5 linked regions of the Canis lupus familiaris genome follow. The protein of the gene in region 1 purifies or fractionates together with the protein of each later gene. This does not show direct contact. Links are inferred from orthologs where the notes say so. Each region holds a gene or a part of one and is shown on either strand. Other genes may lie near its edges. The genes, in order: ACTR3B, ARPC5, ARPC1B, ARPC3 and ARPC5L.

Region 1 (3,515 bases):
GAGACATTTCTCATTTCTCTGCAATGTTTTATTTGCACAAGACCAATTAAGTACCGTAATCAGGGCCCATAACTCAGCTCAACTTTATTTTATAGTAAGATTTAAACCCTGAGGCACCTGGCTGGTTCAGTCAGAAGAGCATGAGCCTCTTGATCTCAAAAGTCATGAGTTCAAGCTCCACAGAGTGTAGAGATTACTTAAGAATAAACAAATTAAATAAACTAAAAGGGACTCCTAATTCTTACGAAGTGCTTCAACCTCTGAAAGTATATAAACCAAGAGGTGGCACAAAGGGGCTTGGGTGGTCACCCTGGGGGCCTGCAGAAAACCAACACAAGAAGCCCCACTGGAGCCCTAGGGTACCCAGCCTGGGAACCACCCCACTCTGGCCTTCCTGTGCTGAGAGACAATGAGCCCCCTCAGATTTTAGACGCTTCTGTTGAGCCTTCTGTTACTTGCCAAAAAAGCACCCAATTCATACAAATAGATTTAACAAGAATTAAAAACTCTCCAGAGAAGAATATCTTGAGTTTAAAATCTAAGATAGCTCAGTGGTTGAGCGTCTGCCTTTGCCTCAGGTCATGATCCCGGGGTCCTGGGATCCAGTCCTGCATGGGGCTCCCTACTCAACGGGAGCCTGCTTCTCCCTCTGCTCCTCTCCCCTGCTCATGCTCGCTCTCACTATCCTTCTCACTCTCTCAAATAATAAAATCTTTAAAATCTTTAAAAATTTTTAAAATAAATAAGAATAAAAAATACAATCTAAGTAATCTGAAAAAATAAAATCTAAGTAACTTGGAATATTGAGGGATATAGTCCTCTTAGCTGCAGTTACTCACCATTAAAAAGTAATGATCCTCAGGCTCAGCTCGAAGATACTTAAAAATCACTTGTTCCATGAACCTTTCCATAAGATCCCAGTCCTCAATAATTCCATGTCTTATTGGCCACTATGGCAAGAGAGAGCAGAACACATCAAGCTTGAGCTCACAGCAGTAAGAGCAGGAGCCCAACAACGCTGGCCCAGGACAGGCTGGCCTGGTAGGCAGCACGGCCTGGTGCACAGGCACTGATGCTCATTCATGGGAAGAAATAAGAGGCACATTAGCAGAAACATTCACTATACTACAGTTGATACTCTACTGTGCCCACCTCTAAGCATGAAGAACCATCTTTACTGTGGGTAACAGATGGAAAAGTGCACACCATCCACTGCGCACTTCAATCTGGAGCTTTTTTTTTTCTAGAACAAATGTCTACTTAATTTTTGTCCTTTTTTTTCCCCTAAATTAATCAATCTGTAACTTCCCATATCTGACAGGTTAATTAATCAACCTGAAATTTTCCACAGGAGCAGATCTTGTTTTTGCGTGTAACCCAGCACTGCCTGTGTCAGTTCTACCTTCCAGAGTTCTGTAAGTTCACTGGATTCCCTGCATCAAAAATACCCCATTCAAAAACAACAAACCTTCTTTTAAAACATAAGAATAAAAAATATAGGGCAGCCTGGGTGGCTCAGCGGTTTAGCGCTGCCTTCAGCCCAGAGTGTGATCCTGGAGACCTGGGATCAAGTCCCACATCAGGCCCCCTACTTGGAGACTGCTTCTCCCTCTGCCTGTGTCTCTGCCTCTCTCTCTCTCTCTGTGTCTCTCTCATGAATAAATAGTCTTTAAAAAAATAAAAAATAAAAATATGCCCATAGCCCATAAAGTACAATTTCTAAAAAAAAAATAAAATAAATAAAATAAATAAAATAAATAAAAAAAACAATTTCTAGATAATCTGCCATTCTGCACTATTCATTCCACTGCTCTGCTCTTGGCTACACAGTTAAAGAAGTAAATTCCTCTGAGGAGCTCACCTTCGTGGCATACGTGGGCTTATCTATGGCCTCATCCCCTATGAAAAAGTCCAGGTCGTCGACTCCCCTCAACACCCTCCTCTGGGCTTGATCAACTACCTTTGCCGACTCTCTGATGGCAATACCTTAAAAAAAAAAAAAAAGCACAAAGACTTCCATCACTATTCACATTAAAGGATAATATAATCCCCATGTATGTACAAGCACATTTTCAATGTTAGGGTTTTATTGGGGGTGGAGGCAGTTCACAGAAAAGACAATATCAATGAGTACATAAAATACAGGAACGAGTTTTATGTTGCAGTGTTATTTTTAAAATGGTACAAAGGAACTTAGCTGATCTGCCTTTAATCAGACAGAAATGACATCACTAAATCTCTTACTTTCACCTAAAGAAATCCTTCAAGATAGTAAATGAAATGCCCATGGACTGTATTATAGGCTCCAAATTTTAAAATACAATACAGAAGTAGACAAAGTTAAAGATATGATAAAAAGAGAAAACTGAAAAATAATACCTATACACTCTAAGTCATTTTACCAAAACTCTGTATCAGACAGATTTAAAATACGTATTTTTAATCTTATTATAGAAAGATAACTGATTACATTAGGAGGAAAATAAAGAGATTGGTGGTGAATATCCACTGTGAAAAGTACAATAATCAAACAGCTGTATTAGGTAAACGTATCAATGCTTTTATGATACATTATTGTAATAAGAGTTTAACCTTGACATTTGGGAATATACTTAGTAAATAAACACACAGGACTCCACTCTAGAATTTAACATCTAATGAAATGTGGAAGCTTCACAAAGATTCAATTCTCCATTTAAATTCCTAACCCCTGGACACCTGGGTGGCTCAATTGGTTAAGCGTCTATTTTCGGCTCAGGTCATGATCCCAGCGTCCTGGGATTGAGCTTCCTGCTCAGCATGGAGTCTGCGTCCCTTTTCCTCTGCCCCTCTCCCTGTTTATGCTCACTCTCACTATCTCAAATAAATAAATTCCTAACCTCTGGTCTAACCGCTGAGCTCCCATTAACTCATCTTCACCAAATTTATTCCAAATTATTTTTAAAGCAGACTATCTGAAATCCCCAATTTATTACAAATGAAGAATCACAATAAAGATATACAAGTGAATTTGAATTCTTTTCCTCAGAAAGGCATTGTTTGCAGTAACAGGTGGAAGAGGTGAAAAGGAAAAGGTCCAGGAAAGAAACCACTCTTCCCACCTCCTTTCCTCACTCCAACTCACTGCCACGTTTGGACTCAAAGCTTCTGAGTTACAAAAGGGGGCACAAATGTAAGGGACAGGATTTCTGCAAGACTGAAGAAGCAGGTGTGGTGTGAAAATGCCAGGGGCAGAGCCTAGTGAGTGTGTTCATGCCAAAGCCGGTAAGCATGTCCAGAGCCCTGAGGCTGGCAACAGGGCAGAAAAGTCTGATGGGCCCTACCTGACTGAGGCGATCTGTAGAAACAAACAAAACGACCTCCAAAAACTGACCACGCCACTCAATGGCACAGGGACAGACCTCACACAGAACCATCTGATGCCCCCCCCCCAAAAAAAGAACCATCTGATGCACACATCATGTATTACAAAGGGCCCCTAGCAAGATGGCTTGAAGCAGACCTCAAAGTCTTCA
Region 2 (4,242 bases), on another chromosome or scaffold:
TTTTGGAAAGAATGCTAAGACACCAGCGTCTGACTCACCTTCACGGCCTGACTCTTGGTGTTGATAGGGGGATTTTTCAGAGCTGCCTGTAGGGCGGCTGTCATGTTTCCTGTGATGGAGGTTAAGGGGATAGCAGCAAAGGGGAGCCTTCAGAAAAACATCGGAACTACCAGGTATCATTGGTTCTTAAGACTTGACTTTATACGTAGAAAGAAAAATTACCACGATCGCTATGTTCAATATTGGAAAACTCAGTATGTTGGTTTCAAGGATGTCAATCACATGTAAAACACAGAGAACATAAGAGGAGGTAATAAGGCAAAGACCAGTTCCGGCCTGGCTCTAATTACTAAATGAACACTTCGAGAGCCTTTTATTTTCCAGTAAGACACATATGAAACATTATTCAGAGTGATACGTATATTTTAAATTACATATCTACGTATTAGAATTATTAGGTCCCCAAATGAAACAGCATACCCTCAACCAAAATGTCTTTTTATGTGATTCTTAACTGGAAAAATATGGACCAAACTTTTGCTAGAATTATATTCTATCTTAATTGAAATACTTGTAGAAAATGCTGGTAATTATTCCAGCACTCTACATGATACACATTAGTAACCTCTCAATATTAACAAAAGATCTAATAATTCAATGTCCTTTAGGCTGTAGCTTAATTTTTCTGTTTTGCATATTTTCTCTTATACTTCCAAAAAGGTCATTGACACTGTTTTAGGTCATACCTATTAAATTTAGTCTTTGAAAGCACCAGTGAGTTAGCAAGTATGAGACACGGAAGGCCAATCAGACTGTCAGAATATACAGTCATTCCCCTAAAAGGAAAACCACAGAGTTCATTTGTTCCTCCATCTGTAGTGCCTGACTAGAGCTGGTCTCTTCTGGTTGCAACAAGAGAAGAGACAATATCTTTTAAGATAAAGAGATTAGAAAGCAGATCCATTTTATGGATCCAGCCGTACCAGTTGAGAGTCAGCACCCATCAACCTAAAGTTAGTTCACAAAACGTCATTTATCCATTACAAAGAATGTTTTCAGACAGAATAATGTTCATTGCTTATGTTTGGAAAAAAAAGAACAAAACAAAACCAAAACACCCCAAAACAAAAACCCCCTATGGCTGGTGGTAAGCTGTTATTTCCAAGGCTTAACAAACTTCTAGAAAAGCTTCCTTTGGCAGACTGGCTCATTTTTAAGACCTTAAAGCACTTACGTATTTAAATAATGCAACAGAGCAACAGCTGACTGTGAGAGTTGTGGAAATCAAAGAAACATCTGTATGTTGGTAAATGTTTAATGCTGTATTTTAGGTGCCTTTAAGACTAGATATAGTCACAACCAATATTTTCACTCCTATTTCCCCATTATACTTTAATAGAACATTGATGAGGAGAGGTTTAAAAAGTCTTCCCTATCTTATGAATACATTCAAGAATAATTAGAAGTGAGTGAATTCAGTAATTGAGAATCTCTAGAACTACAGCTTTAGCTGTTGCAACATTTACATTTTTCTAAAAGAGATGTGGTGCCAAATACTCGCTCAACACTGATGAATATTCAAATATGCAAAAAAAAAAAAAAAAAAAAAACAACACCAAAAACCCCAGGAACTGACAGCCGCATTTTAACTGAAATGGAAATGGATTTCAGGATTGCAAAAAATAAAAAATAAAAAAAATAAAAAATGATGCTGCTTTGCGCAAAATGACTCATCGTCTATTTTGCTCATCATCTACTTTATTCACTGGGGCTTATCTTAAATATTTCCAGGGATTCTCCACCTGCCATCCCTGTGCATTGTCCCCTTGCTTCGCAGGTAGAAGCCTCCAAGCTTCCTTGTCGGGAGCTGGCCGTTTCGTACTCACTCCGTTTCCCCGGGGCTAACACATTCGTATCTGCAACAAATTCCTTTCTCTGTAAATAACTATAATTATTAAAAGGGCCCAGGGGCTAAAAAGGCCAGGGGGCCTCGACCGTGCACACCGCCCCATGCCTCCCCGCGAGGAATGAACTCTCCTAACGCGGCCGAAGAGCGAACCGCCAGCACCACGACGCAGGCAGCCCGCTCCCCGCAATCGCACACCTCCGGAGGGGCGGGGGGACCTCCGTGACCTCGGGCCCGGGCCCCTGCCCCTCCCCCCGGGGCCGGCGGACAGCAGCCGAGGCCTCCCCTCCGAGCCCCGAGGGCGCGGCCGCCCCGCCGCTTCCCGGGGCAGCGACTCGGGCCGCCACCTGAGGAGTCGGGGCGGGGGCGGGCTCCGGGGTGACCCGGGGTGACCCGGGGTGACTCGGCTAGACGCGGGAGCGCCCCCGGCCGCCCGTCCGGCGGACCCCGCAGGGCCAGAGCCGCCGCCCCTGCCCCGGGAGCGGCCCGGCGGGCGGGGTCCCCGGGCGGGGTCGCGGGGTCCCGGGGCGGGGCGGGGCGGGAGCGCGGGGAGGCCGGCAAACGCCAAGGATATTGCCGCAGGCAGGAGTCCACCTCGCCTTCGTCGGGCCCGGCCTGCCCGTCGCCCCCGTCCTCCTCGTCCACGAACTTGTTCTCGTCGTACTCATCCACGTCCACCTTCCGGAACCGGGCCGACGACACCGTGTTCTTCGACATCGCGAGCCGGACCGGCGGCCTAAGCCTCCTCTCGGTGCTGCCTCGCCCTCGGGAAGCGCAGCCCACCAGGAACCCGCAGCCCGGGCGCCTTCACTTCCCTCTTCCGCTCTGGGGCGTCGCCGGCAGCCGCGGCTCGGACGCTTCTGGGCCTGCGCGCTGGCGGCGCTCCTTCCTCCTCGGCGACATGCTCTCCGCCCGCCGCCCACGCCGCCCCCGCTCCTCCCGGGCGCGCGCGCGAGGGACGGCGCGCCGGGCGCAGTGCGCAGGCGCGGGCTCGCGGCAGGAAGGGGGCGGGGCGGGGCGAGGGAGGCGGGGGCGGGCGGGGGCGGGGCCGGGGGCGGGCCGAAAGCGGCGCCGCGGGCAGAGGTGAGAGGCGATTGGCCGTCCGCGGGCGTCACGTGATCCCCAGGGGGTTTCCATAGCAACGCTTCTCTGCGGTCCCGCGGAAGGGGGGCGGCGGGGGTCTTAGGCTGGCGGCTATGGGCTCTGGGGGCGGGTGGCTCCTGCTGCCGCCGCCGCCGCCGCCGCCGCCGCCAGCGACCTGTCGCCGGGGTCCTGCGTGAGGTCCGGCTGGCCCGGACTTGCCTGTGGGGTGGGATGGACTGGTGGCCGGACCGAGTCCCCTGCAGTTGGCAGGAGTATGGGGCGGAGTGATGCGCGCCCGGGCGCCCAGCGTCGGTCTAGTTGTCAGAGGCATCACTTGGGACCGTGCGCTGCCCGTGGCTGCGTTCCTGAGCCGGGAGCCCCTTTCCCGGGGCTGGAGCTACGCCGCGCGGCCAGCGGGAAGTCCCCAAGGACGGAGTCGAAAGGTCGTCTCTTATCTGGCTGTGCTGTGTGACAGCATCCCGACGGCACCTGCAGAGCCTGAACTAGGTATCATCTCCTTGGGGAGGGAGACGGAGGTTCTGGGCAAGGGCTCGCGTGGCAGACCTGGGGCGGACCTGTGGAATTTGGGGTAGGGTCAGTCACCGGCATCTTAAAAATAAGTGGTGGTTTGGAGCAAGCACGGAAGAAAAGGATAGGGGCGAGCTATGCCCTCCGGTGCTGTGGGGAAACAAAACGTGTGAGGATTAGTAGGTTTGAGATGAAGATTTATATTTGTGATTTGAGATTTATATGATCCTGCTAGGCCAGCTTTTTATTACATTGGACATCCTCGTTTCTGAGAGCAAAGCCCTTACTGAGGAGGCAAAGGCACTAACACTAAAGAAATGGTAGTTGTGCTGTGTGTGTAACACCGAAGCACAAATATTTGCAGAATAAAATTATTTTGGACATTTAGCTGGACGCTGCTCAGATAGCTTTATGTTTTCCTGACATCCTCTCAGGTCTCGTTCAATTCCACCTCTAGCAGAAAGCCAGCTGTTGCCCTGTTGATACCCCAATCCTTGGTTTCCTGTGCTGTATTGAAACGAGCCCTGGACTTAGAATCAAAAACCCTGGCTGAAGTATTGACTTCCACTCATAATCTATTTGATTGAGGCATGCCACTTAAAATCCTCAATTTCAGGTTCCTCGTTGCTAAAGTGGAGCTAATAATAACGTACTTCGCGAGATTGTTCTGAGGACTAAGTACGGGAAAGTGTTCTGAAGCTCTAAAATTCTACATAGATGCAAAA
Region 3 (3,585 bases), on another chromosome or scaffold:
ATTTAAAGAAGAATCATGGGCCTCTTCCGATCAAGGGGGCTATCCTGAGGGATAGACCCTAGAACAATCTGAGAGAAGGCATGTTTAGGAAGCCTTTGTCCTGCAAATGTAAGGACAGTTCACAATTAGGATCTGTGGATGTAATTACCCAGCTATGACTGAATAAATAGGTAAGTGAGAAGCTTGTGTTAAACAGAAGAGGCCCTCTGAGTGAAATAGGAATGAATGGGGGGAAATTGAGGAAATGAGCACATTTATCAGAAACCAGCTGCAAACATCAATTTCCATTAAAGCTCAGAAGCAGCCTGGAAAGGTGTGCAACCACCGGTCTAGGACTGACTACAGAGTGACAGCCACCAGGGTCTGCCCCCCCACCCCCACTCCCCACAGGACTACAGGGGAAAGGGAAGTATTCAGGAGAAGACCCTCAGGTTTAAGGATCAATTTTGCTGGTGAGCAGAAGCAAGCTACCTGTGCCCATGCAAATACGGACTTCTCCCAAACACAGGAGACCAGTTCTAAGATTGCTTTTTTATTACCTCCATGTTTTTGAAGCAGTTCATGACCAGCACAGTGCTTTGGGAACATTTTTGTTTTTAACAATAAATGAAAACATTTCTCTGACAAAAAGACCTATGTTCCTTCAATAGGTAAGAAAAGCTTCCCTCCCCTCCCCACTTTGCCCTCCCCTCTGGCTGGAGCAGTCTCCAGGGGGACCCAGACTACTACCCTAAAAACATTCAGCAAAGCGACCCTTAGCCTTCTTGACCCCCTTCCCCAGCAGTGGGGATGAGGGCAACATATTCCTCATGGGTCATTTGATCTTGAGGTCCTTCAAGGCTGATTCCAAGCTCTGGAAAGAGACAGCAGAACAGACAGGCTAGTTCTCACGGTGGTCCCACTCACCGCCATCCCAGCTCCAGCCAGGCAGAGGACAGAGAACCTGGGCTTTGGAGCTGGACAGACTTGGTTTTAATCCAGCCCTAAAGGGAGGTGCCCAGGGTGGTGCTACTCTTCCCCCTTCTTCATCCCAAAGAAGTGCCTTTCTTCTGTAGGGACGGAGAGGGCTTTCCAGGGAGGACGAGGGGGAGGAAGGGCCATGGTGGGCTAGGACTCACCTTCACATCCCAGATGCTCATGCCACCATCCATTCCTGTGGTGCAGAACTGTGAGCACTCAGCCTTGCCCCCGCTGAGCACCGAGATCTGGCTGCAAAGAAGAGGGGGGCTTGACGGGTCCCAGCTGGAGCCCTGCTTGCCCTCTGGGGAGCAGCTAACTCCAGTGAGAAGCACTGGGATGTACAGTTGGGGTGCTCAGCACAGAGCCTGGGAGGTGGCCCGCGGGGTTGCATGAGTCTGCTTTGAGGAGGAGCAGGAATGTGCAAGGTGCCAAGGGAAATCCAGGGAAATAGAACCAGATGTGCAACGGCATGAATCACGTGTGTGGGGTAATGTCCAGGGTGACCGTGGAGCAGGATGGGGGCAAAAAGCAAAACCTGGAGCTGGGAGGACATGCGGGGTCATTCCAATAAGCCCTGAAGGCTGGGCTCAGGGGTTAGTCTGAAAACACGGCCTGATAGCCATGGGAGGGGGTCACCCAGCCAAGGGGCCAAGTCAGGAAGTCTTCCCAGGTTGCTGCAGGGTGGACACCTGTGGCTGGCAGGATTGGAGCGTTGTGGATAGTTTCTCTTCATCCTGCCTAGTTGCACAAGGAGGCAACAGCAGGACCACTTCAGCCTCAGCCCTGCCCTGCAGGGTTGGGTGCCCTCTGGTCATCCCACAGACCTTCTTCAAAAAATGCAGAGCACACCCACTGCTGGGTTTGCATCCTGGCCCGATGTTATTTTTGTGCAACCTAGAGGGTCACCCCATTTCCTCAGTCAGGGCCCCCAGCCCCTACTTTGGCTTTATTTCTCCTCCCAGTGGCATCAGTCCCGCTCTCACCTCACGCTGTTCTTATGCAGTGAGTCCAGGCCGGAGCCAGAAGCCACGCTGCCCTCTGAGCTCGCCTTCTTGTCCAGGTTCTGGAAGCGCTCTCGGGCGGTCAGGCCACGCTGTGAGCTCTGCTTGGGCACGTCCAGCCGCCCACCAGAACTCAGTGTCCCTGTGGTGCTGTCATAGGTAAACAGCACCGGAAAACAGTCGTGGCCCTGCAATAGGGTGGGGGTATCATTGGAGCAGGCCCGAGGGCTGGCACAGCACCCCTATCTTCTGTGTGAGTCAACAGGCTGGAGACCAGGCGTGACACAGATGGGGGCTGTCTGGCCAGAAGCCGGGTGGCAGGACCTGGGTGGAGCTACTGGGAAGCCAGTGCCAGTTCAGAGACAGCTACGCTGACGCCAGGCATACCAACAGGGACCACATGCTGGGGGTGAGCATCTAGGGGTGCCCCCTCCCCTGGCAAGGCCAACGCCCAGTTGAGAAAACTTGTCCAAGACTCTCCTAGAAGCTTGGGGACCTTCTGCCCTGCCCAACTGGTTACACCCACTCTGGGCAAACACCCATAGCTGAATGCTTCTGTAGGCAAACCAGGCCTGATCCCCCCCTGGCCCCACCCCCCCGGGACCTGAGGTTTGTTGAGGGGTGAAAAGGGATTGGAGAGATCAGTGGGCAGAAGGAGGGAGGGCAGTGCCCTTCTGGATGTGTGTTCCCAACTGTGCTGCCCCCACATAGCCAGAGTTAGTAGGGAAGCAGAAACCCTAGAGTGCAGGGCACAATTTTCTGCTCCCCCTTCTCCCTTCACAGCAGCCAGGGAGCATGCTAGAGACCAGGTGGCCCCTCCCAGCCTATTTGGACCAGGAAGGAAAAAAAGACTAGGGGCTGGGGGAGGGGGAGCAGGGAACCAGTAAAGGGCCACCCTCATCAGCACCCCTCCCTCTCTCCCTTTCCCACTCTCCCCCTCCCCGCCTCACCGCTGCCACCAGACTGTTTTCTGTGATGAAGGTCAGGGCCAGCAGTGGCAGCGTTTCAGAGGCCAGAGTGGCAACACTGAGAGAGAGAGACAGAGAGGTCAGCCGCTCCAGCCCCTCCTGCCCTGTGCCCGTCACCCCCCTGCTGCCCCCCATGGCCTTTACTCACGCCATTTTCTTGTCGGCATCGGCTAGGCACATGGTGCTGTCGTGGCTGACCCAGGCCACGCGGCTACCACTGGCCGAAAAGCAGACGCCGTGCACCCAGCCACAGCTACTGCTAGACTCAAACATCAGCTCCCCAAAGGGCATCTTGGAGCCCCACGGGGTGGGTGCTGGCCGCTCCTCCACCTCCTTGATGTAGGCCGAGAAGATCCTGCCAGGGCAGAGCAAGAAACAGACCTCCATGACTGGGGCGTCTCTCCCAGACCCACCCGGTGAGGTCAGTGCTCAGCCCGGAACTGGTGGGAACCAGAGCCAGCTCTTCATGGCCTGAGTCCTCATGCTTGGGCCAATCTGGGCCTCGGTGCCCTCGTGCAGCAGAATGGGGCCAGGAGGTCCCCCATGAACTCCCAGGGCCCTGGGGCCCTCATCTGAGGACTAACAACACTGACACAGCCCCTGGGGCTGTCCTGGTCTCCACCATGCTGGCGCCTATGCTCCGCAGCCGGCCCTTG
Region 4 (4,239 bases), on another chromosome or scaffold:
TTTTGAGGAATTTTGAAAAATATTGAGGCAAGCTGGTTATTAAAAACAGCCGTTAATGGGATGCCTGGATGGCTCAGCAGTTGAGTGTCTGCCTTCGGCTCAGAGTGTGATCCCTGGTCCAGGGATTGAGTCCCACATCGGGCTCCCTGCATGGAGCCTGCTTCTCCCTCTGCCTGTGTCTCTGCCTCTCTCTCTCTCTCTGTGTCTTTCATGAATAAAGAAAATCCTTAAAAAAAAAGCCATTATTAAAAATTAAATTATGTAAATTTGCATTTAAGTGCATTATATTGAAAACAAATGTGATAAATGCTGAAAATTCATTACTTCATATTTTTAAAAATTATTTTACTACTGTCTATGATCTTAAGGTTATATATAACTTTTGTATCTTTGTGGCAGAAATGCTATATAATGGTGTGCTACTGTGCATCTTCCAATCCCATATTCGGTGATATCACATTGGTAACTGGTGGGAGTATTTATGCTATGGAAATAGGCAGACACTATATAAATCAGGGGTACATCACCCCACCAGCTCTTGTTAAACCAGAACCCAAACACTGGCTTTTCAGTTCTGCCACTTCCTGGCTATGTGTTTGACCAAGACATCACTTCTCTTCACCTGTTTCCAAATTCATAAAAAGAAGAGTTATCTACTGCCCTCAGTGAGTTAAAGGAGCAGGGAAAATCCCATTTATTTATTTATTTTTTATTTTTTAAAGAGTTTATTTATTCATGAGAGAGAGAGAGAGAGAGAGGGAGAGAGAGAGAGGCAGAGACACACAGGCAGAGGGAGAAGCAGGCTCCATGCAGGGAGCCCAATGCAGGACTCGATCCCAGACTCCAGGATCACGTCCCAGGCACCAGGCAGAAGGCAGGTGCCAAACTGCTGAGCCACCCAGGGATCCCCGATGTCTGGCTTTTAGTAACAGAAAAGCCCCATTCATATATTCATTCATTTACCAAACGATTATCAAGCACCTTCAATGTGCAAAGCATCATGAAAAAATGGTATGCAAGACCAGTATCTCTGCCCCTGAAGAACTTTCAGGCTAATGGAAGAGGCAGATATTAAATAAGTTATCGCAGGGAAATCCAGGAATGAGCACAGGACTTTAAAGTCCTAGCCTTAAGGAGCACCTGGGTGACTCAGTTGGTTAAGCATCTGCCTTCAGCTCAGATCACAATCTCAGGGTCCTGGGACCAAGGCCCATGTTGGGGTCTCTGCTTAGTTGGGAGCCTGCTTCTCTCTCTCCCTCTGCTCCTCACCCCTGCTCAGGGCTTACTCTCTCTCTTCTCAAATAAATAAAATAAATAACTTTATTAAATAAAATAAAATTAAAGTCATAGCTTGAAATATTGCAACCTTGGGTAAGTTATCATACTTCTCTGGGCCTCAATTTCCTTCTCTGCAATACGGGAACAATAAGCATGGACTTCACAGGGTTATTGTGAGGATAACATGGAGTAACTTACATGCAGTGTATAGTTCAGGGCCAGTCTGGCACACGTCAGGAATTGAATGGTACCAACAAGACTCATTAAGTATCTCTAACTATAGCTTGCTCCTCTTTGTCATCAGTAATCCTTTACCTAAAGCAGCCTCCACCCTCTCCTTCACTAGCTGTCTTGTTTGTTACCCATCTATTTCCTTCATTGCATTTGTCACTACCTAAAACTATCTTAGGGACAGCCAGGTGGCTCAGTCGGTTAAGCGACAGGCTCAGGTCATGATCCTAAGTTGGTGGGATAGAGCTTCTGGCTCCACACTAAGTTGCAGACTACTAGTCCCTCTCCCTCTGCTGCCACTTAACCCCCTCTCCCTGCTGGCACTCTCTCTCAAAAAAAAATCTGTAAAACTATCTTTTTCAATTTACATATACACGTTTGTGCTGTCTCCCCATTAGAATGTACACTCTTTGAGCCTAGGGATTTGTTGGCTTTATTCACTGCTGTAACAGTACTTGGCATGCAGCAGGTACTCAGTAATGTTTTTTGAGTGAGTTTATCACGTTATTGAACCTCCTTTACCTCATCTGCAAAATGGAGACCATGATGGTGGTGAATTCACTCCACCAGACTGGCTGTCAGAAATGAAGGACAACCAGACACTACTATCATCTTGCTCCTACTCTGATGCACACGAAAACAGAAGCATTTGGAAACCAGGAGCGGACCCTGCGTCTGCTCTGGCGGCCCTACACCCAGCAGCTAGGGGTGGCCGCCACTGCTGGGGAGACAGAGGAGTCCGGGAAGTGGGGTATGGCAGTGACAAGCAGCGGGAGGAACCCGCCCCCTGGGGCCAAGGAGGAAGTGGGCCTGTGGGGGGAAGAAAAAGCAGCCGGATCCTAGACTTGAAAAATGGAAAATAAAAAGCACAGCCCTTGTCTTCTCGGCTCCAGTGAATCTTTGGGGATTCTGCTGGAGTCGGGGGATACAGAAAGAAGGAGAGAAGGGGCAGCACTGCAGCGAAGAGGGCGAGAGGGGCCGAGCCAGCCTCCTCTCCACGCTCAGGGTCTTTGGCCCCAGGTGCTCCGGCCCCGTCCCCCTCGCCGACACCCCCGGGCAACCCCATCCTACAGCCACAGGCCCCTCTTCCTAGCTTCTCCCCTTCTCAGGCCCCGCTTCTTCTCTGCCCTCCTCCGCCCACTTCTCTCAGCTCACGCATGATTTCTCGCTGCTCTCCCAGTTCTCACCATCTCCCACACTGCGAATTGGCCTCCTTACCGGCATCTTGGCGGCGACCGGGTTTCTAGCCAGACGAGGCTGGGGATAGAGCTCGGCGCTTCCTGTCCGGCGGCCCGGGCGGGGTAGGCGGAAGTGAGCCGGAAGGAGAGGGGGAGGGGAGGACGCGGCACTTCCGGTCTCGCGGTCCCGCCGGAAGCTGCTGCGGCTGCGCAGGGACGAAGGGGCGCCAGAGGGCGCCCGAGCACTGAGTAGGGATTGTGAGTGCCGTGCATGGTAAAGTGTGCGCGAAATGGGGCTAGATCTTGGGTTTCAGAATCCTCGGCATCCACCACTTCCTTGATTTTTCCTCAAATTTCATCTTTCTAGGAAAGCATTCTCTGGATCACATTATTTTAAATTCAGTCCTACCCCACTCCTCTGCGTCATCCTGATTTCCTTATGATTTTTTTTTTTTTAAGATTTTATTCATGAGAGGAGGACAGAGAGGCAGAGACACACACAGGCAGAGGGAGAAACAGGCTCCATGCAGGGAGCCCGATGTGGGACTCGATCCTGGGCCTCCAGGATCATGCCCTGAGCTGAAGGCAAGACACTAAACCGTTGAGCCACTGGGCTGCCCTGTTTTGTTTTTTTTTTAACCTAATCTTAGAAAGCACTTCAAATGTTAGTTTGACTTTCCTTTCTTCTACGACAATAAAATTTCTAAAAATTATGCAGATCAGGGTGTTCTCACCCTTTCATACTCAGGGCCACAGACAAGAGTCCTGACACAGGACAGCACATTCCCATGATGCCCATTCAAGTTCTCTCCTGCTGGCCGTACCTCTCCACCGTACAATAGCTCACCTTGATGGACTAGGATGCAAATACTTGACTTATGCCCCTGGCCTAACCTCCCAGACACAAGTTACCACTGATAGCTGTGGTTCTTCACACATGGGGCATCTTTAGTTAAAATGGATCAAACGTGACACTGCAGGTGTACTCCTGCTACCTAGCCCAAGAATGATGAAAAATTTAACCTGTTTCCAGTTTTCTGTAAGGGTTTAATTTGTATCAGCTGGAAGATCCAGGCCCAAATAGCCAAGGAAGACTGGGCTGTAATGAGGATTAAATGAAAGAGATTATGTAAAATGTTTCTTAGCACAAGGTCTGGCAGAACTCAATAAATTAGATTCTGCTTTTCTTAACAGGGCCTAGCCCATCACAGATGGACTAGACACTCCCCATTGCTTTCATACCCAATGCTACTGAAAATAAACAATTCAATCAAGGTGCAATTCTTTTCTTTAAGAAGAAAAAAATGTCTTTTGCCTTTTTTGTGCATCTGCTATTATTACCCAGGAAAGTATAAATTTTTAAATGCTCAGACACAATTGCATTTTTAAAGAAATCACTGGCTACATTTTGACAGTTGGGCAAATTTAGTCATTCAAAAATTTGCCCTGGATGAGTATTTCAGATTCTGACTAAAAAACAGGAGTGTAATGAAAAGTTAGCACTATTTTTATATTTATTTTATTTATATACATATGTTTTTTAAAAGTTAAT
Region 5 (2,409 bases), on another chromosome or scaffold:
TGTACTTCATTAGCAAGTCAATGCCGTTTCTGTCCAGCGACTGCACAGCCTGCTCAATCTCACTGCTCTTGAAGTTGGTAAGCACCTTCAGCACCACGCCCTGGGCTCGTTCCTGTGAAGGAGAAGGAGGCAGCGATGCCCAGGGCCAAAGCCCAGGCACAGGAATGCCCCACCAACTGGTCAGAATTCTCAGAAACACTGACCAATTACTGACTTGTCTGGGCTGCTTGCAAAATAAGTGCTCAAATCCTCTCATTTATTTACATGTCAACATATCCCTTCTTTATGCCCATAAATTCTTCCACTAATCTGGGGGAGAGTGAGTGGTTTACTGGGGAGAAACCTGCCTCTATGACATGGGCCGGGCCTCAGATGCCACCAGATCACAGCTGTTTTCTTAACATGTCTATTTTCTTCACAGGTGTAAGAAAAGCTGCAGTCTCCCTCTGCACTCACCCCAGTAACACGGGGGGGGGGGGGGGGGGGGGGGGGCATTTCCCCCCACCAAGGAGGTGCAACCGCTGCTGACATCACCATGCTGTCACAAGATGGCAAAACCCCAGCTTCAGAGAGACCCCTCTCCCTGAACCCAAGTTCAGACAGCTTCTAAGCAGCTGTGATGCAGTAAGCATCTTCTCCCCTTCTTTTTAAAAGGCAGGAAATCTTGACTGAAAATCCTTATGCAAATAAAGCCTATTCAAAAACCTTTAAAGCAGAAACACTGCTAAGTCCCATGTGGCAAGCTAATTTAGAGTTTTGCTAAGCAGTAAGGGCTGGGCCAACTTCTCACCCCCATGAGGCCCTGGGGAGGAGTGAATGTTTCTTTGGGGAGCTTTTACTATAAACATAGACAGTTTTGATGTCAGGAGTGCCAGGAGGCTTCCATGGAAGCACTGCCCAGTGCCAACTCACTCTCTTGGTAGATCCTCACTGAGGTGGACGCAAAACAGACCCTGTCTGGAGCCCCAGGGAGCCCTCAGCTGCGGACACAGACAATCACAGCCCTGGTGCGAGCACCACCCAGCAAAGCGGCAGCATGATCCCCTTTACCTTCACAGCTTGATTCTTGGTGTTGACGGGAGAGTTCCGCAAGGCTGCATGGAATGCCCGAAGCATGTCCCCTGTGCATCACCACCAGTTAAGGATGGCTCGGCTCAAGCATGTCCACGCTTCTATTAATGAACTCATTTCAAAAACAGCTCAAAGGAGAAGAGTCAAATGACATTCACATCCACCACCACCCCCACACACACACTTCACTGCAGCTTCCAGGTGGCCACAGCCCATTTAGAGAGTAGCCTATAGCCTTCCTGAGCCACACAAAGAATAGAGAGCACCTCTGCCAATTGTGCAAGTCCCTCGTTCTGCTGCCCCCAAAACACATTTGGACATTTCTCCCCTACCATGGAAGGCAGAAGCAAAGCAAGTGCCCTCTGGGGGTGACCTGCAATAGAATCTGACTGAGCTCACTTGCACTTGCTTGGTACTGGGCACCATGTCTGCCCTGCTGGGTCCTCACGATGATGTGAGACTATCCCTCTCACATTCTCATTCTCAAAAAGGAAGAACAAAGGCACAAATGGAGGTCTCCTCTTTATCCACTGTTTCATTGGTTAAGCTGCTAAAGAAATTAAGATGTGCTAAAACTTCTATCTTCCAAGACCTATCCAGGTCTGTGAGGTCCCAACTACTAAGAGGGAGGTTTATTCATTTAAAAGCTTTTTCCCAAAATATAAGCCAAGCCTTCCCTCTCCCCTCAACCTTAGTTGCAATCTTGACACATTCTTTGCTGAGTTCTGAATACACAGCACTCAAAAGAAAATGACAATCTGGGTTAGGTCCCCAAAGGTGACACCTATTTTAAACTGAATTACATCAGCCAACTTTCATTTCCTCATCTACAACACTGGCTTCAGCCAAAAAGGTTCAAAAATAGAATAAGGAATGGCTTCTGCCCAAACAGGTCTCTACTCCTGTTTGTGCAGTGAATCCTACGTGTGAACAGACAAAGCCACCGGAGCAAAGCCCAGACCCATCTTCCCTAATATGGGCTCCATCTTGACTAAGCTGGGCCCACACCACCCAGGAGCCACTCCTGCTGAGCTCCCAGCTCCCTGCTGGGCCCTGATGCACCTTCCACAATGGAGGCAGCCCACTCCTTGTATCTGCTGGCTTGGAATTCCTTTTCCTCAGCCAGACAAGGGCCAGTCTGGTGTCAGCCACTGATAACGTCTACCTTGGAACTGTTTTCTGGTTTGGCGTTCCAGAGCAATTAATTAACAGAGACTCGGGAGTTTAAAAGAAGTGTAGGCTGGCTCTCTTCACTAACCAGTATGGCTGGAAAACAAAATCATTCAAGAGATGGATGGGGAGGGGCAGGTGAACTAGTCTGCAGGGGCAAAGAGTCAC

Evidence for each region.
Region 2: the proteins of ACTR3B (region 1) and ARPC5 purify together in Homo sapiens (affinity purification with mass spectrometry; 5 studies listed by BioGRID and IntAct, counting the BioPlex papers as one, with this or other methods). This does not show direct contact. The link is inferred for Canis lupus familiaris from reciprocal best matches to the Homo sapiens genes ACTR3B and ARPC5.
Region 3: the proteins of ACTR3B (region 1) and ARPC1B purify together in Homo sapiens (affinity purification with mass spectrometry; 5 studies listed by BioGRID and IntAct, counting the BioPlex papers as one, with this or other methods). This does not show direct contact. The link is inferred for Canis lupus familiaris from reciprocal best matches to the Homo sapiens genes ACTR3B and ARPC1B.
Region 4: the proteins of ACTR3B (region 1) and ARPC3 purify together in Homo sapiens (affinity purification with mass spectrometry; 6 studies listed by BioGRID and IntAct, counting the BioPlex papers as one, with this or other methods). This does not show direct contact. The link is inferred for Canis lupus familiaris from reciprocal best matches to the Homo sapiens genes ACTR3B and ARPC3.
Region 5: the proteins of ACTR3B (region 1) and ARPC5L purify together in Homo sapiens (affinity purification with mass spectrometry; 3 studies listed by BioGRID and IntAct, counting the BioPlex papers as one, with this or other methods). This does not show direct contact. The link is inferred for Canis lupus familiaris from reciprocal best matches to the Homo sapiens genes ACTR3B and ARPC5L.

Annotation. Positions count from the first base shown.
Region 1 is NC_049237.1:17,238,223-17,241,737, reverse strand, and holds part of ACTR3B (actin-related protein 3B), read right to left. Parts: intron 1,987-3,515; coding exon 1,862-1,986; intron 951-1,861; coding exon 840-950; intron 1-839. UniProt on the Homo sapiens protein: Plays a role in the organization of the actin cytoskeleton.
Region 2 is NC_049228.1:16,863,843-16,868,084, forward strand, and holds the start of ARPC5 (actin-related protein 2/3 complex subunit 5), read right to left. Parts: upstream 2,801-4,242; 5' UTR 2,624-2,800; coding exon 2,481-2,623; intron 112-2,480; coding exon 39-111; intron 1-38. UniProt on the Homo sapiens protein: Component of the Arp2/3 complex, a multiprotein complex that mediates actin polymerization upon stimulation by nucleation-promoting factor (NPF).
Region 3 is NC_049227.1:10,274,251-10,277,835, forward strand, and holds the end of ARPC1B (actin-related protein 2/3 complex subunit 1B), read right to left. Parts: intron 3,285-3,585; coding exon 3,078-3,284; intron 2,988-3,077; coding exon 2,912-2,987; intron 2,150-2,911; coding exon 1,944-2,149; intron 1,210-1,943; coding exon 1,119-1,209; intron 854-1,118; coding exon 815-853; 3' UTR 512-814; downstream 1-511. UniProt on the Homo sapiens protein: Component of the Arp2/3 complex, a multiprotein complex that mediates actin polymerization upon stimulation by nucleation-promoting factor (NPF).
Region 4 is NC_049247.1:8,505,871-8,510,109, forward strand, and holds the start of ARPC3 (actin-related protein 2/3 complex subunit 3), read right to left. Parts: upstream 2,806-4,239; 5' UTR 2,734-2,805; coding exon of another isoform or gene 2,728-2,733; 5' UTR 2,700-2,727; coding exon 2,697-2,699; intron 1-2,696. UniProt on the Homo sapiens protein: Component of the Arp2/3 complex, a multiprotein complex that mediates actin polymerization upon stimulation by nucleation-promoting factor (NPF).
Region 5 is NC_049230.1:58,229,879-58,232,287, forward strand, and holds part of ARPC5L (actin-related protein 2/3 complex subunit 5-like protein), read right to left. Parts: intron 1,124-2,409; coding exon 1,051-1,123; intron 113-1,050; coding exon 1-112. UniProt on the Homo sapiens protein: May function as component of the Arp2/3 complex which is involved in regulation of actin polymerization and together with an activating nucleation-promoting factor (NPF) mediates the formation of branched actin networks.